Linked DNA regions of Arabidopsis thaliana. The protein of the gene in region 1 interacts with the protein of each later gene in a pairwise test. Each region holds a gene or a part of one and is shown on either strand. Other genes may lie near its edges.

What was found.
Region 2: the proteins of AT3G66654 (region 1) and DER1 interact in a protein complementation assay, tested with the Arabidopsis thaliana proteins (one large-scale study listed by BioGRID).
Region 3: the proteins of AT3G66654 (region 1) and AT1G80890 interact in a protein complementation assay, tested with the Arabidopsis thaliana proteins (one large-scale study listed by BioGRID).
Region 4: the proteins of AT3G66654 (region 1) and SEC22 interact in a protein complementation assay, tested with the Arabidopsis thaliana proteins (one large-scale study listed by BioGRID).

What each region holds. Positions count from the first base shown.
Region 1 is NC_003074.8:2,086,078-2,092,138, reverse strand, and holds AT3G66654 (Cyclophilin-like peptidyl-prolyl cis-trans isomerase family protein), read right to left. Parts: upstream 4,224-6,061; 5' UTR 3,956-4,223; exon of another isoform or gene 3,491-3,955; 5' UTR 3,446-3,490; coding exon 3,294-3,445; intron 3,178-3,293; coding exon 3,132-3,177; intron 3,008-3,131; coding exon 2,957-3,007; intron 2,784-2,956; coding exon 2,698-2,783; intron 2,401-2,697; coding exon 2,263-2,400; intron 2,166-2,262; coding exon 2,015-2,165; intron 1,929-2,014; coding exon 1,842-1,928; 3' UTR 1,598-1,841; downstream 1-1,597. Other genes in the region: AGL91 (AGAMOUS-like 91), read left to right, coding at 341-877; AT3G66652 (fip1 motif-containing protein), read right to left, coding at 4,583-4,930, 5,176-6,061. UniProt on the Arabidopsis thaliana protein: PPIases accelerate the folding of proteins. It catalyzes the cis-trans isomerization of proline imidic peptide bonds in oligopeptides.
Region 2 is NC_003075.7:14,442,343-14,448,427, reverse strand, and holds DER1 (DERLIN-1), read right to left. Parts: upstream 3,876-6,085; 5' UTR 3,492-3,875; coding exon 3,475-3,491; intron 2,878-3,474; coding exon 2,742-2,877; intron 2,636-2,741; coding exon 2,562-2,635; intron 2,475-2,561; coding exon 2,381-2,474; intron 2,132-2,380; coding exon 2,003-2,131; intron 1,921-2,002; coding exon 1,760-1,920; coding exon of another isoform or gene 1,723-1,759; exon of another isoform or gene 1,666-1,722; coding exon 1,476-1,665; 3' UTR 1,191-1,475; downstream 1-1,190. Other genes in the region: PRF4 (profilin 4), read right to left, coding at 1-95, 181-318, 579-710. UniProt on the Arabidopsis thaliana protein: May be involved in the degradation process of specific misfolded endoplasmic reticulum (ER) luminal proteins.
Region 3 is NC_003070.9:30,394,621-30,399,127, reverse strand, and holds AT1G80890 (GAG1At protein), read right to left. Parts: upstream 2,001-4,507; 5' UTR 1,918-2,000; coding exon 1,767-1,917; exon of another isoform or gene 1,345-1,766; coding exon 1,253-1,344; 3' UTR 918-1,252; downstream 1-917. Other genes in the region: MGT1 (magnesium transporter 1), read left to right, coding at 1-380, 475-522, 609-839; AT1G80880 (Tetratricopeptide repeat (TPR)-like superfamily protein), read left to right, coding at 2,207-2,799, 2,905-3,934.
Region 4 is NC_003070.9:4,008,995-4,014,701, reverse strand, and holds SEC22 (Synaptobrevin family protein), read right to left. Parts: upstream 3,946-5,707; 5' UTR 3,812-3,945; intron 3,643-3,811; exon of another isoform or gene 3,229-3,642; 5' UTR 3,194-3,228; coding exon 3,006-3,193; intron 2,719-3,005; coding exon 2,558-2,718; intron 2,467-2,557; coding exon 2,320-2,466; intron 2,172-2,319; coding exon 2,095-2,171; intron 1,951-2,094; coding exon 1,867-1,950; 3' UTR 1,598-1,866; downstream 1-1,597. Other genes in the region: AT1G11900 (Tetratricopeptide repeat (TPR)-like superfamily protein), read left to right, coding at 72-131, 493-1,536; AT1G11880 (transferases, transferring hexosyl groups), read left to right, coding at 4,375-4,714, 4,798-4,903, 5,032-5,124, 5,237-5,432. UniProt on the Arabidopsis thaliana protein: V-SNARE involved in vesicle trafficking from the ER to the Golgi complex and required for early secretion. Involved in endoplasmic reticulum (ER) biogenesis and functions as well as for Golgi-stack integrity. Essential for gametophytes development.

The DNA.
Region 1 (6,061 bases):
ACTTGGTAAAGTTCTCCTTGTAATTCAAACTACCATTTAATAAGAGGTCTAATAGTAAGATAATACTAATAATAGTTAAATATCTATGAATATTGATTAAATACATGGAAAATATTCAATGCTCTCATAAGGTAATGCAAGATTTTCAAAGTGGAGTTACTAAATATGTATATATATGCAAAAACAAAAGTTTACTAAAAATATACATATATGATGATGAGGTTCAATAACAACTTTCTCCACATTCATTACTATAAATACATAAAGAAATACAATCTTCTTCTTATATACACAAACATAGATTACAATCACTCAAAACATTTCACACAAAAAAAAAGAAATGGGTAGGAGAAAGATTAAGATGGAGAAAGTGCAAGACACAAACACGAAGCAAGTTACCTTCTCAAAACGTAGGCTGGGTTTGTTCAAGAAAGCGAGCGAGCTTGCGACTCTGTGCAACGCGGAGGTTGGTATTGTTGTCTTTTCTCCAGGAAACAAACCGTATTCCTTCGGGAAACCGAATTTTGATGTGATTGCAGAACGGTTTAAGAATGAATTCGAAGAAGAAGAAGAAGGAGATAGCTGTGAAACATCAGGCTATAGTAGAGGCAATAGAGCTAGACAGGAGAAGAAGATATGTAAACGCCTCAACTCGATTACTGAAGAAGCTGAAGCTGAGAAGAAACATGGTGAAGATCTTCACAAGTGGCTTGAATCTGCTGAACAGGATAAGTTCAATAAGCCCATTGAGGAGCTTACGCTTGAGGAACTCAAGGAATTTGAGGCTAAGATTAAGAAAATAAGCTGTGGGATCCAAAGTAACATTAGTCATATGCAGGCTTCGTCTTCTCTCATGTTTCTCTCTAATGATAATTAGCAGTTATGCAAATGAGAAGGCAACAGTAACAACACCGATTTGGAACTTTCATTTTGTATTAGTCGTTATAGATTTATATGGTAGAGATGTAGCAGATGGTTGGTACAGGTTTATTGATTGTATCTTCCTCTTGATGATCGATGGTTTGTAACTTTCGGTTGCCAAATATTACTATGAAGATTTTCTCTTTTCAAAAACAATGAATTATAACAATATCTCCTACTCTACAAAATTGATAATGATTACGATATGAAATTTTAAAGCGTTATTTGTTTTTTTTTCTCTTATATTATTATAGATTTTGTCTACACACTCTAGATATTTATCTTTAATTAGAAAAAAATACATAAGAGTACACCAACTAATTAACATATTTATAAATGTGTTTTTAACATTTTTAAGTTTTAGTCAAAATAGTATCAAAATACATAATTTGATGTATGTCCTATATATCTTATTCCAAATTATTAAATATTACCTAAAACAAAAATACAGTATTTTTGTAATTGTATTCTATGAATAATTTAAGAATTCCTTAAGAATTGTTTAAGAATTATTTTAGAGTTTTTAAAAGAAATCTTGTAGAGATTTTTAAGAATTCTTAAAGGATTTGTTTCTGGTTTTTCAGATTGTTCTCCATATCTTCTCATATAAATTTTAAAAGACCTCTCTTTTTCTCTAATAGTTTTATGGTACTTAACGGGTATAATACAGAAGTTTTTCTATCATAACAGGATAAAATTCTCTAAAATCAGTTCATGTATTTGCTCAAGTATCAGAAGCATAATTAAACAAAGATTCTATTTCCTCGAGAAAAATCAAATAAAATTACAAAACAACAAGAAACTGTAAAATAGAAAGAAAGAAAAAACCTCAAAAGAGGATTTATACAAAAGAGCGAGTATGAAGAAGGATTTGGCGTGAGCCTCATTTACAGAGGAAGCAAGGAAGAGAAATTTTCATTTCATGTCTCTAGTTTCAGTACAACACCAGTGATCCCTATTGGCGATTTCGGTTGGAAATGCTCATCCGTATCCACTTCTTCGATCTCCTGTAATAATATGATTTAATCTTTTAACACATGAAACTATTAAACAAACCATTCAAGCTGATAGACTGTGCTTAGTTGGATCAAACCTGTACTACATCCTCTCCCTTAAGGACTCTTCCAAACACTATAAGTTGATCATTCAGATCCGGGATTGGGGCCGTTGTGATCAGAAGCTCAAAATCCTTGTTGTTCCCTTTGTTTTTTGGTGTTCCCAACATGAATGCCTCATGTTTTGGGCTGTAACAGAACATATGTAGTTTTTTATTTTTTAAAACCAGCGAGAGATGATAAACATTGACACTTAAAAGCCAAAAGCAGAGCAAGCAAGTTATACCCAATGTGAAGGCGACCTCTGAGCTTTCCTTTAGCTGTCCATTCTTCTACAGGTATAGAGCTCGGTGAGTGACCAGCTTGTACCAAGTAGTTCTTTATAACCCGCTGAAACGGCATTCCCTTGAAGTGATCTTTTTGACTGCAACAATACTCAATGTTCAACTTCTACTATTATATTAAGCTACAATATCGTCACAGACTGATTCAGCCCATTTCTCTTTAATGAGGTTTCATGTTCCAAACAAAAATTCCAAGAAGAGTACAAGAGGACTTAAGGATCAAAATCAGTCAATCAAGAAACTAAAGCTACTTGAATCCTATCAAGCTAGAAGTAATACTCCTATTTAAGAACAAGTCATGACCTAGCTTAATCAAATTACTCTACTGTTCTTTTTCTATCTAACTTAAAGGAAAACAAACGAATTCCAATACTAACCATAGATCTAGAAACTTGTCCACAACTTCAGGGGAACCTTCTTTGAAGAGTTCGACAGTTATAAGTCCTTTTGATGTGTTTATATCCTACATGAGATAGGAAAATAGAAGCAAGATATCATTAAAATCAATATTCAGATAAGACACATCACATTTTTTTTACTTCAAAAACTGATGAACAGAACATAATACCATGATGAGAAATAAGAACAAGGATTAAAACAAGAAACTTAAGCAAGCAAACAGGGAGATTAACTTACAGCAAAACCAGGAAGATCGTAAGTTTTTTGCCCTGACGCAGTATTAGTGTCCTGAAGCAGAAACCAAAGCCAGATCACATATGGTAAATACCCTAAACTCTAAACCTAAGTGCTCGGAAGTTCATCAGGATCAAAACTCAAAAGCTATACATTAAAAAATCTCTCAAGAAAATACCTCAAATCTCTGACTCCGAGTTTCATGTTCAATTGTGTTTCTTGACCTAGGAGATATAACCAATGATATCCTTTTTAGTTTATAGATAATCACATAAAGTAAAAGGAGAATCTACTATAACAGAAGTAATGAAAAAGGAACAATTCAAAGATGAAAACAAACCTTTGGGACCAATGGCGATAGGTTGTGACCAACGATAATATGACTACAGCAACTACAAGATTACAGACAATAATAGTGGAAATACTTATGCGACTTGGACCCTTCTTCTTCTTGCTTTGATTTAGAAGAGCCTGCGGTTTTATCTTCGCCATTGCACCTTAGTTTCGCAGAAAGCAAACGAGGGATACAACTTGTCTCTGCAAACCATAAATCAACAGTAAGTGACAAGCAATCCAGAAAACAAGTATACACTACACAAAAACTCCAAATTCGTATCTGTAAGACTATAATTCAATTTCAAGTTGGTAAAATCAAAACTGCAATAAGATTAAGTTGTTACCCAACTGAAGAAACCCTGATATCACGTATTGACCAGATTAAAAATCTAGCATATTTGAATGAATAAACGCATGTGAAAATATCACAAGGGTTCATACATAGCTTGACCGGTAACTTCCGATACACCAGATCCAGTACTTTTCCAATTATCGATCAAATTGAAATAAATTGAACAAAAGTGGATATGAGAAACGGAGCAGCTTATCATGTTCCAATCAAATAATAAACAGATCTTTCTTTCTATAGAAATCCAAAGACCTGAAAGTAAAATCAAATGAATTCCAAGGACTTTGATTGCTTCATTGGGTTCTCGAAAAACGTACCTGGAAGTTAGAGAGAAGAGAGGAATCGTGGAGATTGGTCGTTGCGTCGATGGAAACTGGTTTGAATTCTCTGCTCTCTTTTCTCTTTTGCAGAGACGCTTCAGATCAGCCGCGTGTTTATCCGACGGCTACGAGTCCACCTCACCAATATCCGACGAATATTATTCCACAAACAAAAATACAAAAGTTGATCATTTTTGAAAAATCGTATAGTTCGGTCTGGTTTTCTCATGAAATTATCTGGTTATCTATTTGACCCAAGAAAATGATTCTAAATTCAAAAGAAAGTAATTTTACTATGGTCTAGTGGTTATCACGTTAATCATACGGTTTCCGCCCTAATTGTCACTGGTTTGATCCTTCGCTGCATCATTTGATTTTGCATTACACATACTAAACTGTAAATATAAATAAGCATTGGTAAAAAAGTCAAATTTTCTACGTAAACACTTACAAAAGGGAAAAAAAAAATGCACAAGCAAGATCACTTAAAAAAACCCAGGTCACAGTCAATTGTTCGGTTTTGTGATTTTCTTAGCCACTTTTTAATTGATCGGTTTAGATATAGCCTACCATCAATAAACCGTTATTGTGTTAACCTGAAACAAGCCATCCAATATGATCTTTTTAACTTGCACACCATCTCCTCTTTCTAACTGGCCTCTGTTGATTAGTAACATCGGCTTTAGCTCTCAGTTCAGTTTGAGATTTGAATGTCGCTTCTACCGCCAATTTGGTTCCCTTGAACCTCTCCCTCCGTTTCTCCATCTTTTTCAGACTCTCTTGTATACGTTCATTGTCTATTTCAACACCTTTCACTTCTTCTATTATCTCGCCTTCTTCTTTGTCATTTATATCTCGATTCTGCATAGCTTTCTCTTCGCTTTTGCCCATTAACTTTCTTGGTTTCTGAACATCTTGTTGCTCGATTGTATCTCCGCCATTGGAGAATCTTTTTTTTGATTGGTTAGAGACCTGAAACACACACACAAAATATCTATCACATGAGAAGGGTCTTGTTCTTCATTGTACACTAACTGATGTCTAAATATACGGATGTGAGCAACATAAAACCTAAGTATAGAAGACAGACCATATAAAGTGATAAAACAGTCAGAAATAACACAAAGAAAATCCAGGGATATAAATAACTGAAAGGCGTTTATACTTCATTCAAATATAGGTTTAAAAGCATGTAGATTTAGTTTCCCAATCTTTACCTTTCCTTGCCTACCAGCTAAGTCAACATGATCCTGACGCTTGATGAAAGCATGCCCATCTCCTCTCAGCTTCTTGGATCTGTGATGTCTTTCATCATTTTCATGAATATGGCTCTGTAAATATCCAAACCTTTGTTTGGTCGCCATCCGATTATGTGTCGGTACTCTTATGTCGCGGACAAATATCTCATCAGTATATGATGGATGCTCAGAATTAGAAACTTCTCTCATTGAACATTGCATGTCATCTGCCATATTATATCTTCCTCTATCAGGACCAACCCAATCAGCATCATACTGTAGTCTATCTTTTACGCTCACATTATGGCTACGACCAAGATTCTGCGTCCAGCCATCTCTCGGTGCAGCCTTATGAAAATGGTTATTCTGGCTGTCATATGCTTCAGGTGTTCTGAAGTCTCTGGTATCATCTCTCCGGAAATCACCTTTTGCTTCTTTGGTATACCAAGAATCTCTCAAAGATAAAGACGGTGAGGACCAACCATCTTGGATTCTATACTTATAACCATCTTCCTCTGAGACAAATCTATCAAGATGCCAATCATGAATGTAATGATGTCTTTTCTCTATTTCAGAGAATTCCTCATGTCTTTTATACCCTTGATATTCTCTCATTTCCACTTCAGCAAAAGAACGCATCTCCCTGTACGCCAGCTCAAATGGAATTCTACTTTCTACCCTGTGAACTCCATCTTCATATCTATCACGATGCAAATTATAATCGTATCCACCCCTTCTTCTGCAATAAAGATCATTCTCTGGACTGTGCTTGAGGTTGTGTATTGCATGTGCAGACGAGTTCTCTGACCGGTACCTATAATCCATGTCAGTAATCGGTATACAGTCCTCATAATAAGGTTCTCTT
Region 2 (6,085 bases), on another chromosome or scaffold:
ACGACCATGTTGCACTGTCCTGGTGTCACTGGCTCTTCATAGATCCCAAACACACATGACTGTCCTGTTTTCTTTATCGTTATGCCTCCTGCTCCCTAATTGAAAGAAGCATATATTGAATTAGAACCCTCTTCAACATGGTATTTGCATATCTGATCATGAAGCTACTGATTAGGTTACCTTCTTGCCACGGATTACAGCCCCGGGCTCACCTTGGATCACCATGTACTTTGCTCCTGCCATGAATAATCCCGTGGGTGCCAAGTGACCCGGTTCGTCGAAATCTTTCATAATATCACTGAACTCCTGTCCCTTGAACTATATGAAAGACCAAATCACGATTAGTCGATTACCATGAGACAACATGCATCATTTGTTTTCAAATCTATGCAAAACATATAAAAAGAAACACACACACACAAAATACACTATATATATATCCCATGACAAACATTGATAGAATCTAATCAAAACATGATGCATGATCTAAATCACATTGTAAAAACACATATCATATCGGATAGCAACACTATCAGGATCTAAATCACATTGAGATCAGACGCAATGAAATCAAATACCTGAGGGAAGTTGGCGCTCTGAGCCCAAACGCTACCGTCATGACCAACGATAGCGGCAGCAGTAAGGTGGTGTCCTTGACCATCGCCAACATCACACATCAAATGCTCATCAACGTAAGTTTGCCACGACATCTTCTTCTTCTTTTCTTATTTTTTTTCTTCTTCTTTGTTTATGATCTATACGTTAAGTGCCCCGGTTATGTGCAGCGTGGGGACTTCGTCCTTCAGATAAATAGGAGAGGAAGGAACAAGGATCATTTTAAAACCGTTGGATCACATAGACGAATTCTCAGCCCTACATCTTACTTTTTCTTCAAAAAAACAAGGAGTGATTTTCAATTAGTGCCGCTCAAGTTTCGCCTTTGTTATAGCTCAATCATTGTTTCGCTATTTGCCACGTCTACTTTCTTCCCTTTTCCTATTTCCCCTATTTATAAACGATCACCAACGGCATTTTAGAGGAAGGACCGAAGGAATGATTATTTACTCGTTAGTCGTAATCTTGTTAGCCAATAATAATATTATGTCCTAAAAAATTCAAACTTGTTACGACCAAACTCTTTGGTCACGAATTTAATAACTTATCTAGATAGATATTCAAACTCGTTACGTCCAAATTCTTATGTCACAAATTTCATTTGATTATATTCATAGTGGCTATAGTTTATCGAATTCAATTTAGTAAGGAGATGATTGCTAGACAAAAACAAAAACATAGAAACATGAACCACATTTTGAAAAGAACATTGTATTAAAACCTCAAAGATTCTTCCTACAGAGTCATATATTCAAAAACTGTACTGTTCGAAAACACAAAGCTACCTGGGATTAGTTAGTGGCATTGTTTGAAAAAGATTTGATATGATGAAAACAAAGAAACTCGAGAAGATTTCTATTTCAGTCGGTGAGACGATATGATCGACCTCTGAATGCTGTGTTTGAACTCTCGGGTGGGGCACGAGCGCTTGAATAAGCTCCTCCTCCTCCTACTCCTCCTCCAGCTCCGGGTCCTGCTGCTCCTACACCACCTGCTTGTCGAACACTTGCAACTGGAGCTCCAATTCGCCATCTTGCTACGATTTTATTACTGTTGAGAATGTCAAGGTACAACAGCAAAACAAAAACTGAGAAGCGAGAGAAACAATCATCTGGAAATAATCGAGAATTTGAATAAAGGATACACCCATTTTGGGGTTTTCAGGTAGTTTTTTCCGGTAGCAAGAGGATGAAGGACTGTTAGGAAGTAGTATAGATGTCCAGCTATGATGCCAAGAAGATCTGGCATGATCGGAGAACCGAAGATAACATCAAGTGCTAGCATTGCCCATGGGAGGTAGAAAGCCTGTGGAGTAATTCCAACTTTCACCATTAACATTATATATACCAAGGAGTGGATTTGATTACAAAAGAAACACTTTCAATACCTTAAGAGTGACAAGACCGTATAGGCTGATGTTGGCATTTGGAAATTCTCGGCTCCAGAGATAAAGAAGCATGAACACAAGTGAAACACCAAGAAACGGTGTCCAGAAAAATGGTATGACTGATAATACCTGAAATTTGAACAAGGTAACTGTTTTAACACACGGATTTACTAGTATGAATACCTTCCAAAATTTTGTCTCGCTTTAATAAAATGCAACCCTGATTCAATTCTTTGAGAGCTTCTGATCTTCTCAGCTTTGGGATATTATGTACCAGCGATTATCTACTTTGTGGCATACCACATACTAGTACTGGGGTTCTCAAAGAACCAATAACAATGATCAGTAAGAATAGAATACAGGGGAGGCTTTACATACCAATAGAGTGAAGGATCCAAAGATCATCATCCACAAAAAGTCTGCTGTCCGCCTTTCAAATGGCCCTTTCTCGAGTTGAACTCCATATCTTGCTCTGCACAATCATTTAAAAGAGTATGTTAAGATAATAAAAATCGAAATTAGCTTTGTTCATCTATATATGTGAAAATAGTATGCTCACATCATCAAAAGACGTATTCCAAAATTGATAGAGAAACCACCGAGGAAAAACAAGTTTGTTATCAGCCTCCAGATCTACAAACACCAAATAGATCAAAAATTGCAGAATGAATTAGGAACTTAGGATGACAGAGATTTGTGAGAAAGAAAGGAAAATCATAAAAAAGAATAAATCATATACCTGGAACTGCTTAAGTACAAGTTCAGGAATTAAAGCAATGTGAACGGGAGCAACTAAGCCAAGCTGCGTGGCTACTGTAGTGAAAAAGCACAACGTACCATAAGCCTTGGTTATAGGTGGAAGTGAGTTATAGAATCTGCAATCAATAACAAGCGATCTAAGAAACAATTTGACAGATAAACAATCAAAATCATACATATTCCATCCATCTATAAATTTCTAATCAGGAAATGTCATCAAGATCAGCTAAAGCATAAAACTTTACCACAAGAGACAAGCCTACGCAGAGATATTTTAGACTATCGTAGCTAGGAGAATCAAAGTAGCCTTGTAACTATGATACAGCAAACGAGAACAGTTTTGCTTCAAGACACTATGAGATTCCATATTTCAAGAACTAACTACCAGTTGACTTGTACTAACTTCCATGGCATAAAAGATGTTTCTTTACATCTCAAATCACCAAAATATCAAATGATGACAATGCAAATTGATAACTATATACTAAAAATAGCGTTAGCTCAAGTTCACAGAACTCGCTTGGTGTTGCAAAATTACGCTCGAATTGAGAAGAATCAACAGTTGAATGCTTCAAAAACCCCTATACAAGCTAAACGAATCATGAAAATTATTAACCTAAGGACTCAAAATCCTGGGTACGAAGACCAAGCTAAGAATCTCTCGATCAAAATCGAATCGAAGCAAAGTTTCAATAGAGGGGAACGGAACTCACTCGCCAGGAGAAGACATGTTCGTCGATTTTCGAAGATCCGAGGTTCTGAGTCCGATTCAAGATTCGAGATCCGATATAAGCTTTGAGAGCACCGCAAAACAGAAGCTCGAAAGTTCCAGAATTTTTTTTCCTTCTAATCATCTGAAAACTCAAATCACTTGTTTTTGTTAGGCAGCTGCGTAAGTTATCCAATCATACCTTGCCACGTCGTGTTAATTCACCGTCTTGAATACGTGGCACGTTTTAATTTGTAATCGTGTTTAAACTTGTGGGATCAATTTCTCTTCTTTCTGATGCGTCTCTACTCTCTAGTAGTCTGTCTCTATGATGATCCCCAGTTGGCCAGTTTATTGAATTGGGCCAAAGAGGCTTTTATTTGACCCATTAATAGATCAGGCTCGAATTAGATATGTTTATAAATGTTTTTTTCTTTGCCAAAAAAAATAATGTAAGAATATGAACCCTAACAAATTAACAAGAAAAGACAATGCAAAGGGAATCTAATCTCAAGGAATATCAAAATTAGAGAAACATTAGCATTAAAGCAATGATCTTTCGCAAGTATGGTCGGAACCAAAGATCCGAGATTTATTATTAGTTTCAATAATAATGTGTTTTTAAGGTAATTAAACAGAAAATCAAGATTATTTAACCTGGATTAGGTACGGGAGAGGGTCCATGTGCATGTGACGGGTCCCAACCAGATAATCTTGACCCGATTCGATCTCACTCCTTGTCTGCTGACTCATCCTTACGTCATTCCACACAATGCTTTGTTATTTGTTATTTTGTTGGTTTTGCGTGGAACTGCAAGGTAAATTGATCAATAATAATAATGTATTTTCTAATTATAATCTGCTAAAAATAATATTGTAATTTCTCATTAACTGTAAACAATTTTAGTATTAAAAGAATTTTACAATGAATTTCAAAACTGATTTGATGTTGTCCTATGTAGTTTTAAACAAATAGTAGTAGACGTTCTTTTCATAACTTAGAAAGATTATTGTGATATTGAGCAATATCGATCTTCAATGTTTATATTTGAATAAGAATCTCAAGATTTAAAAATAATTTCTTAAACACAATCAATAGGGTTGGTACATAAACAATTACAAGTTTTTTAACAGTAAAAACCGTTTATACCGTTATGTTCTTGTACTGCTTTATTTTATTTTTACCTCACAATAGAACGAGATATCTCTTCTCGTTACAAATCACACCTAGCTAATACAACATAATACCTATTGTTGAATACAAATATTAAGATACGATACGGAGACAATATCTGAACTATAATTAAGTTGATAAGCATTTTTGGCACCACATTACGAGATATGCCAATATGCCACTTGGTTTCTTTTGGAGTATATGCGAAATATAAGTTTGATCAAAGAGTAGTGTTAGTGCTTAGGTGGTTAACATATGTTTGATAAAAAATGTGACATGGTATAGATCATGTGAGTTGTTAGATACGTTATAAGATTTCATTTCATGACCTTATATAACTTATTAAATATTAGTTCGTTGTAATGTTCCTAAGTTAGAGCTTTTTATTGGTCGTTACGTTGGAGGCTACGTAAGTGGGTTTCATGCATAGTCACGCGAAAACAGCTTTTGGACGGCTAAATACCCCTTCTAATTATATGATTGATTAAAAAACATGTATAATCTACACAGTTAACAGTTTACTAACTATACTTTTTTACATTATCGTTGAGAAAATGAATAAGATTAAAGGGTCCCTAGATTAAATGTGAGTGGAAAAGAAAAGAAAAAAGGTTTTGGTTCTTTTGGATTGTTTGACCTATCGATAGAGACATCGCAATGGAACTTGCCAATGGCGAGAGAGGAACATGCAAATTTCATTACATTGTGATAAGTTAAATCCCGGAAAAGGAGGGAGGAGAGAAAACGACATATTTGCAACCAAAAGAAAAAAGTGATAGAAAGATGCGTTTAAAAAAGCAAACAAACTAAAATCATTTATGAACAAGGAAAACAAGAGACCGAGCTTGTCAAATGGCAAAAATGGTGGACCTATCCATGTTTCAGTAATTCGCATGTTTAATGTCGGGAAACTAGTTTTTCGTTTTTTTCTCCCATTGTTTTGTGATAGAAATGACAAATTTAATACTCACAAATTTAAAACCACCCACATATTTAGCTAAACTCACAACTGATAAATGTGATTCTTAGTATTTGAATCGAAAAAGAGTGGTAAGGTAAGTTCAATACTTCCCCACCAAAAAAAATATAACATTAGAAAAATCTAGTTGATCAATAGTGTTAACATGCAAATTCCGTATGTATATGATAAATAGCAAACTATATTTTTCGTGATTTAAATAACTCTGGATGCAAATGGCCGAACATTGTTTTTCAAAACCAAATTGGAATCAGTGGGTTGAACGAATCCGACCAATATCCATATCAAAACTGATTCTGAATAAATCGGACCTAGTGCCTAGTATAGTAGCTTGGCCCTAGCGCATAGCTAGTAAATTGATTGTTCGAGGTTTTGTTTTCATTTGCGAGAAGAGTATTATTACTTACATGCATTGGTTATTTTGTTTCCTTCATTTTTTATCTCTTTTTTTGTCAAAGCCAT
Region 3 (4,507 bases), on another chromosome or scaffold:
GTAGACTAAAGAGCAGACTTGTAGCATTGACGAGACGAGTTCAGAAGGTTCGGGATGAGATTGAACAGCTAATGGACGATGATGGGGATATGGCAGAAATGTATCTAACAGAGAAGAAGAAGAGAATGGAAGGATCTTTATATGGTGATCAATCTTTACCTGTTTATCGAACAAATGATTGTTTTTCTCTGTCTGCGCCAGTTTCTCCTGTTTCTTCTCCTCCTGAGTCCCGTAGACTTGAGAAAAGCTTGAGCATTGTAAGGAGCCGGCATGACAGTGCTAGGAGCTCAGAAGACGCAACCGAGAATATAGAGGAGCTAGAGATGTTGCTGGAAGCATACTTTGTTGTCATTGACAGCACTCTCAACAAGCTAACCTCGGTAACTAAAAACCTCGCCTTTGTGATCATTCATCATCTTGTTTTAACAGCTTTTAAAAGCGGTTTAATCACCTGCAACTCTCTTTACTCTTCAGTTAAAGGAGTACATCGATGATACCGAAGATTTCATCAACATTCAATTGGTATACCTTGAAATCTTGATCTTTTTTAGATATCTTATTTGCTTAGAAAACCTTAAGAATCTGCTGAAAATTTCTGGAATTTGCAGGATAACGTACGGAATCAGCTGATCCAATTCGAGCTGCTGCTAACTACTGCCACATTCGTTGTAGCCATCTTCGGGGTTGTAGCCGGGATCTTTGGGATGAATTTTGAGATAGACTTCTTTGAAAAGCCTGGTGCTTTCAAATGGGTTTTAGCCATTACTGGAGTGTGTGGCCTTGTTGTATTTTTGGCATTCCTCTGGTACTACAAACGTAGAAGACTCATGCCTCTGTGAAGACATAACTACCCTGACACGTAGACGATTGTTTTACTGTTTATGTTGCTTAAATCTATACATTAATCGCCTGTGACCTTTACAAGATAAAACCCCGTGTATTTTTTTTTTGGGTTACTGAAAGATTATTAAGCAAACCATACCAGACTCATCTTGATCTTTCACTTTATGGATTGTCCTAGTCGAAACTCACAGCTCACACAACAGTATCGTAAAGGATGAATCCTTTAACTTATCGCAAATTTACATATCTTCGATAAAGAAACCTAAGTGTAGAGTGTAAAGATACATATCTGAACTGAACCACACTCTAGAACAGACATGGCTGAGTTTATAGACATGGAAACGATGATGTATGGATCCATTCACAAAATGTAGTTGACTAGAGTCTCCATCCAAGTGGGGGGAGATGACTACTTATCCGAGGATGAAGATGATGAGAGACGAGCTTTTCGAGCTTTATCAGCTTTTTCCAAGTAATCTTGGTGAGAACGATGCTTTGATCCTGAAACAAACCAGATTTACCAAACAACAAAAGCCAATAAGAGAAACAATTAGCCTATATAATGAACAAAACAAGGAGAATATTACCAAATGTCACATATAGCAAATAAGATATTTAACCATTGAGATTATGCAATTGAATCGATGTGTGATCATCAGGGGAAAAAGCAAACAAACTTGGTAAAAAATGTGATCATGCAAGTCTATTATGATCCAAACAGAATAAACATTGTGACTCATCATTATCATATAATCAAACTCTATTTGATCGACCACTTGATTGCATTTGCCAAGAAATATAAAGTTAGAAACTTTAGATTCTAAATCTTTCAGCTATTGATATCATCATCCTCTTCCATTTCGGAATCTACAGAGAAACATCTATTTATATATTTCAATCTAAATCGCCCAGAGAAAACGAACCTTGATTCATTAGATACCAAGGGATTCCGAAGATGATGGAGATAATCCCGATCCCAGCCAAAACGTGCTTCTTCTCCCCACTGTAGACATAGTGCTCCATCTTTGCCCTAATTCCTCCTCCTCCCAAATTGCTCTTGCTCTCATTTCCCATCTCGATCTCCACAGGTTTTGCTTCTTCTTCTTCTTCTTCTTCTTCTTCTTCTTCTTCTTCTTCTTCTTCTAGGGTTTATCAGGAATTAGATCCCTCTCTCTCTCGGATCTTTTAAAGAAATCTAAAATGGGCCCTATTTAGGCCCATTCATATTAGTGTTACTTTGTTTATTACCATATTAGACCCCATATTATCTATATATTCGTTTTTGACCCCATTAACTTCATATCCTCATCCCATTAAGACCATGTTTGAAATGTATTAATTTAAGCCTTCTCACTCACTCGCTATGGCCGCGATCGTTGCCATTGGTAGGAAACTCGCGCGAACGCCACAATGGCGGATTGTTCAGCATCAATCTCTGCTACGTCGTGCAGTGTCGACGTCGTTTTCGAGCTCAGTTTCCCAAAATCATTCCTTCTCTTCAGCATTTCATCGAGCAGGTCATGTGCATTCTCAAGTTTTAAGCTATCTCCCACATTTTGCCTCTTCTAATCGCTTCTCCACCAAAACCATCTCCGAAACATTTGATATCAACTTAACAGCATTGGCTCCGTTAGAAAAGGGTCTGATTGATTTAATCAGACAGGTCTCTGAGCTGGAGTCAGAGGCGGATGCCATGGCTTCTCTGGAGGACTCATCATTTGATCTAAATCATGATTCTTTCTACTCCTTAATCTGGGAATTAAGAGATGAATGGAGGCTTGCCTTTCTAGCATTCAAATGGGGAGAGAAACGCGGCTGTGATGATCAGAAATCTTGTGATTTGATGATCTGGGTGTTGGGTAATCATCAAAAGTTCAACATTGCTTGGTGTTTGATCCGTGATATGTTTAATGTTTCAAAGGATACTAGAAAGGCCATGTTTCTCATGATGGACAGGTTCGGTTTCGTCTTCTTGATAAAAGTTTCTCTTTTGTTGTGCTAAATTGAAAGATTTACTAGCTAGGTATTGAATTGGTTGTCTTGGTGACGGTGTTGATGTAGATATGCTGCTGCTAATGATACTAGCCAAGCTATTCGGACATTTGATATTATGGATAAGTTTAAACACACTCCTTATGATGAAGCATTTCAAGGATTGCTATGTGCATTGTGTAGACATGGCCACATTGAAAAAGCTGAAGAGTTCATGCTTGCAAGCAAAAAGCTCTTTCCGGTGGATGTTGAGGGATTCAACGTAATTCTTAATGGTTGGTGTAACATTTGGACTGATGTGACTGAAGCAAAGAGGATTTGGCGAGAGATGGGGAATTACTGTATCACGCCTAACAAGGACTCTTACAGTCACATGATCTCTTGCTTCTCTAAAGTTGGGAACCTTTTTGATTCTCTCAGGCTATACGATGAAATGAAGAAACGGGGATTGGCTCCAGGGATTGAAGTTTACAATTCCTTGGTTTATGTGTTGACCCGTGAGGATTGCTTTGATGAAGCTATGAAGCTTATGAAAAAGTTGAACGAGGAAGGATTAAAGCCAGATTCAGTGACCTACAACTCGATGATACGCCCCCTTTGTGAGGCTGGAAAGCTGGACGTAGCCAGGAATGTATTGGCAACCATGATTAGTGAGAACCTTAGTCCAACAGTTGATACATTTCATGCATTCCTTGAGGCTGTAAATTTCGAGAAAACTTTAGAGGTTTTAGGCCAAATGAAGATCTCTGATTTAGGTCCTACAGAAGAGACCTTTCTTCTTATTCTTGGAAAATTGTTCAAGGGAAAGCAACCAGAAAATGCTTTGAAGATCTGGGCAGAAATGGATCGTTTTGAGATAGTGGCTAATCCTGCTCTTTACTTGGCTACAATACAGGGCCTTTTGTCATGTGGGTGGCTTGAAAAGGCCAGAGAGATCTATTCAGAGATGAAATCAAAGGGGTTCGTAGGAAATCCTATGCTCCAGAAACTTCTTGAGGAGCAAAAGGTGAAGGGGGTCAGAAAAAGCAAGAGGATGAATCTTCAAAAAGTTGGTTCTCAGGAAGGCTACAAGGGTCAACGATCAGTAGACAGAAAATAATCAGATAGGGGTAAGACTTGAAGTTTCTCATCAAACGATCACTGAAATAATGACTCAATTCTCAAACCTCACGGTCTCCACTCTTTCACTACATCCGCCGTGCAGTTTTCCAGGTAATCTTTTCGTCAGTTTACTAGATTTGCTGATCGCTACCTTTGCATATTCCTAATATCAATGAATCTGCAAAACTAATCATTTGCAGCCATGCTGATTCAGGAATCTCTCTCCGGATTACATGATAGACGTTAAAAACTAGTGTGATTCTTGATTGTTACACGTCCACGCATCGCTGCACGTTCAAGTTACAAGAAGTTAAAGTTCAATGTGTTATGATATGAGCCAGACTGCAGAACAGGCAAAGGCTGAGCTCACTGTGTTTCCAAGGCAAGATCTTCAGAGCTCTCTCATAGTCTATTTGTGTCCTTTTCTGTATTCTTTTGTCCTTGGACTTCATTTTCTTATATAATATTTTTGTATTCTGTGACTCGTGAACCAATGATGAATGTTATGGCCTTGGATTCTTTTATGTGTTGCAATTTTTTCATGCCACATTTCAAGGAACCATCAGTTTAC
Region 4 (5,707 bases), on another chromosome or scaffold:
AAACTAATTCCCTCAGAAATCAAAAATCTGAAAAATGTCACAAGCAGAGAGGAGATAGATTACCGAGGAAGATGATGAAGTGGTCGATCGTTAAGAGAATCCCCGTCTATGGAGGTTCCTTCATTTCTATGGTATGAATTCCAAAAATCCAGAACCGTTTTCGTGATTCATGTTATGCTCTCGTTGTTGTTTTCTGATTGTTACTGCTCAGCGAGTTTCTTCTATCAATGTTTGATTCGATGAAGATGCGAAATTTCGAACCATTGCTGTTCTTCTGAGTTTGATCGTTTTTTAGTTTCGGGGCTTTCACGCTTCAGCTAGTGTTTGATTACGAAGTTTTCTGATTAAATGTGTGAGTTTTTTTGTAGTCATCTCGAAAACTGAGAAATCCATTTTTATAGATTTACATTGTTCATAGTTATATGTGGAAGTTGATGATTGATGGTGATTCTGCAAATTGATGATTTGGTTTTCTGTTTATTGGCATTGCAGAAACATATGATGTTAGTTCCAGCTGATTTGAGCTGGAGCTGCTCGTTCTCTGGTATGCACTCTTTGATAAACACTGGAGAAGAAGACGAGGAAGAACTCTTGAAGAAGATCGTTAACCATAGTGAAAGTGGTTCAAAGATCATCAGCAAAATCGATTATACGAATCTTGTTGAGAAGTTTACAAGAGATGGAAATCTCTCTGGAGCATATGACTTGTTACAGTCTTTACAAGAAAAGAACATATGTTTGCCTATTTCGGTTTTCAAGAACCTTCTTGCAGCGGCGGGTGAGCTGAACGATATGAAGCTTTCTTGTAGAGTCTTCAGAGAGGTCTTGATCTTGCCGGGTAAGGAACCATTGAGTTCAGATTGTTATCTCAACCTTGCTAGAGCATTCATTAACACGGATGATTGCACGTATTTGACGAGTCTGCTTAAAGAGATATCAGAGTCTTCACTTCCGTATAGGTTAATAGTAATGAACAGAATCATCTTTGCATTTGCTGAAACTAGACAGATCGATAAGGTTCTTATGATACTTAAGGAGATGAAAGAGTGGGAATGTAAACCAGATGTGATCACATATAACTCGGTTTTGGATATCTTGGGACGAGCTGGCCTTGTGAATGAGATTCTGGGGGTTTTGTCAACGATGAAGGAAGATTGTAGTGTATCTGTAAACATCATTACTTACAACACGGTGTTAAACGGGATGAGGAAAGCTTGTAGATTCGATATGTGTTTGGTGATATACAATGAAATGGTTCAATGTGGAATTGAACCAGATTTGCTAAGTTATACAGCGGTGATAGACAGTTTGGGTCGATCTGGGAACGTTAAGGAATCGTTGAGGCTTTTCGATGAGATGAAGCAGAGACAGATTCGACCATCGGTTTATGTCTACCGAGCTTTAATCGATTGTCTGAAGAAGTCAGGAGATTTTCAGAGTGCATTGCAGCTTTCAGATGAGTTGAAGAACACTTCCTCATTAGATTTGGCTGGTCCACAAGATTTTAAGAGACATTTGAGGTCACATAGACGCTAAAATAGCCTGTGTAAACTCTTCAGATTTTGTTAGATATATGTATGAAATCAAACCCAATCCGTTTTACTTTAATTGTGGTTCTAATTCAATTTAAAAGAAGCCTGAGAAAATGACAATGAAGGTTTGAAAAGAGTATAATGGATGATACTATGACCAGTCTCATAAAGTTTGCATACTACAGAAGTACAAAATGTGTCAAAGTTTCTCTTTGAAAGAAAGAAGATATTTTGGGTGCCGGAATCTGAGACTTGAGTCCGGTAGGGGAGGTCGACATATGTCTGGAGAAGTCCGCTAAATTACGAAAATAGCCTTAGATTCCTCCTTTTTTTTTTACCATAGCTTGTTCTTGACCCAGAAAAGGAGGAAGACTACACCGAACACAATTGCGACTGGTGCCCATTTTCGGATCAAAGCCTGGTCAACCAAATTCAATGTTTCATAACCATATGTTAACTATCTAAGCTACAATATGTCAAGCTCACAAGGAATGAGAGCATCTCATAGCCGTGTGATCAATGTTGCAATGTGTAATATAAGGTAATATACAATCAAACTCACCTGACGGTTCAAATCTTTAGCCTTATCAGCATATATACGAGATTCAGATGTTAACCGGCTCGACATCTCGCTCACCTCTGCATTAAGAAAAAACAAGAAGAGAAAATGGCAAATGATAAGCATATTGCTCAGCTGATTATAACAAACGCAAAACTAGTGTTCCATTTCTCCTTATTCTAAAAGCTTAAATAATGATCATAGGAGAAGTAATGGATGTTGACTTACGGTCCAGCTTTTCACCAACACCTAAGACTTCTTGCACATTCCGGGTCATTATTTGATGAACCTCATAGAGTTCATCATTCAACTTGGCGATGTTTCGTTGCGTACGAGTGTCTTGGTACAGTTTCTTGGTTTTCTGTATGAATGTATCTACAAAAAAAGGCAAAGTGGAAAAAGAGTGAATCCAGAGAGGTATGTTTCCAAGATACTGAATGTACAGAAAAATCTACACTACACATACCAAATTTAATAAAGGCATAAGGCCGAGCAGCTGTTTCAATGTTAGGCCCATTGACACGTTCAAATTCATTCTTGAGATCTTCCAGGTATTGGAAAGCGAGTTTCTTTGGGTAAGAGCGGTCACACATTGTCAAGTAGCAAACACGTCCTTCTATGATGTAACTAAAGTTTTCTGGTCAAGGAAGCATACATATCTGGTCTTTCTTAAACTTTAGCTTTGAGATACAAGCATACTAATATGACAACGTAGATTTCAAACATAATGCAAGAGGATTGAAACGTGTACTAAGCCAAAAACTGGTAAAAATGTACAAGGATGTCAAAAGTGTGAATCTTAAGTAAATCAAAGTAAACTTTCTACAATCCTTATTATATCTATCAATCAACAAACTTTTGCAGCAGAAACTGAACTAATAAGGAATGAAGAAAAAACCAGAGGTTAAGGATACTGGAAAACATAGGGGCCAGTTTCAACGGACATTCTTGAAGCGTCATTTTGACCTCTGGACAGATTCTTAAACAAAGCTTTGACCTGTTGTTTATACATATCTGAATCCGGTAAGTCACGTCCATCATCGAGCCCCTCAGCTAGAGGTAACCCATCAGTAACACGAGCTATCAATGTCATTTTCACCATCTTTGCCTTATTACTTCTCCAGTAATAAAAATTCACTGCAATTATCACAAATTTCAAAACAAGAATATGAATCCTGCAACTCACTAAAATCACAAAACCAATATTTATCATCAAGACAGAACATGTAAGCCAGGTAATTGAAACACAGATGCTTAAAACTTGGGTTCTGTAAGAACACACAATACTCTAAGAAGATGAATTATTTTGATTTTTCAACAATGAGTGTTCGAAATAGCTTATCTCTATTTGCATTCAGATATTGAACAAGACGAACTATTCAAACGTGAGATTCAAATATAGCAGAGAACATCAACCTCAAAGAAAATTCTATAATCAAAAGCTTTCGTTTTCTACATTGTGACAATTCACCACCATCAAATCCAAAGTTTATAACGAATTTCAGCATAATCCACATTCATCATCTACGGAAAGAAAATTAACGATCTAATAACAACATCAATACAAGACATCAAACGGAAAAATTGATTCAAGAGCTACACAGTAAAGTAATATCTTCAGAACGTTCTCAAAGTTCCGATCCCAAACGGAAGCAAATCTCATACAAAATTGAACAAATGTAAAACGTAAAATTAGACTTGAGCATGGATTTAGAGAAACCTGATAGGAGATTTAAAATTGCTTCTGCTCGATTCAAAGATCTGAGAACCAGAGGAAGACGATGATCGAAGGAAAGAGAAGTAATTTGTTTTTTTTTTCAATTAAAGGGTTTATCAAACAAAGGGACTAAATGATTATTTATTGATTTTCTTTTCTTTTTTTGTCTGTTCGAAATTTAATTTATGGCGATCTACGTTTTGCGATTACCAATTACCAGCCCTCACGTGATTGGGCTTATGACGCGTTTTGTTGACATGTCTTGATGACGTGGCTCGTTTAATTAGCTTCACAAACGCTACATTCATCTTAGCGTTTTTAAAACTGGATTGAACCGATCAAAGCGTCTTAATGACCCGGATAATACCGGAACAATTTTCTAAAACCGGTGACTTTCCCTTTTATTGAACCGACCGGTTCATTTATTAAATTGAAACTCTCTTTTACATTTAGAGAGTAACACATTCTTCTCCGACGAGAAGATCGAAAATCACAAATCGTCACCGGACTCTTGCAATCGAGAACCATCTGTCGCCTTTTTATACTCGAATACGAGCTCGTGATCAATGGCGAAAGCTTTGGAATCAAACTCGAAATCAAGGAAAGAAACCATCTTGATCAAATACGCCATCTTCTCGCGACTTCTCGTTCTCTTCTTAACCATTTTGTGGCGGAGCTTACTCCAACCGTACGATACATCCGCTGCACTGAATCCTCCTTGCTTGTATCACAAAGAAGATTCTTTTCCGTTTCTAGTAGCCAATGCAGCTTCGAGATCCCTTGAGAACAGTGTTGTCTGGGACAGTGTTTATTTTCTCCGAATCACAGAGTGTGGCTATGAGTATGAGCAGACTTACGCCTTCTTGCCTCTGCTTCCTTTCTTCATCTCGCTTCTCTCTCGCACAGGTTTTGTAATTTAGACATCTACCCACTTGATTCCTTACTTTGGTTGTATCATTCCGGTAGTAACTGATTCTTTTTGGATTCAGTTTTTGCGCCTTTGGTTCCATTGATTGGTCTTCGAGCTGTGATGGTGTTGTCTGGTTTCACTGTTAGTAACTTGGCGTTCATATTTGCTGCTATCTATCTATTTAGGTACTTCTTTGACATTCATCCTAAATCGATTATTGTGTCTAGAAATAAGTCAAGTCAAGAGTCTTTTGAGCTCTACAAGCTAATGCTGTTTGCTATTCACCGTGTCTTACACCAGTCGTTGCTAACAGGGTTTCAGTTATTATCTTGAAGGATACTGAAGCATCATTCAGAGCTTCGATTATCTTCTGTTTCAATCCGGCGTCCATATTTTATTCGTCAATGTAATGTGTTTAAGCCAATGATCTCTTAAGTTCATTTGCTGAAAGTAAATATGTTCAGTCTTATCAGAATGGTAACTAACTGAAGACCAAACTGTTTCTTTGTGACTTTCAGATATTCAGAAAGTTTGTATGCTCTTTTCTCTATTGGAGGAGTGTATCACTTGTTATCTGGTACCAGCAATGTAGGCGTTCTTTGGTTTGCTCTCTCAGGCTGTGCAAGGTCCAATGGAATTCTTAATGCTGGTTATATCTGTTTCCAGACAATGCATCGAGCATATGAAGCTTTATATCAGAAACGGCGTGCTTATGTAAGTTATACATATTTCATTCAAATTTCAGAACTATTGCTGCAATTCAAACTCCGGATTTTTTCGGTAGTATGCTTAATCTGAAACATTCTATTTCCTACAATTAAGATCCTTCTAGAAGATAGAAAAGGAGAACTCGAACAATTTTTAGTTACTTTGTTCTTTATATCTCTATCTGATGGATTCCTACTTAACTGTTCTGCTGGTATGCTCTTTAGTTCATGGTTGCACTGGAATAGTTTCTTGATTTAGTATGTCTCAAATCACATCTGCTT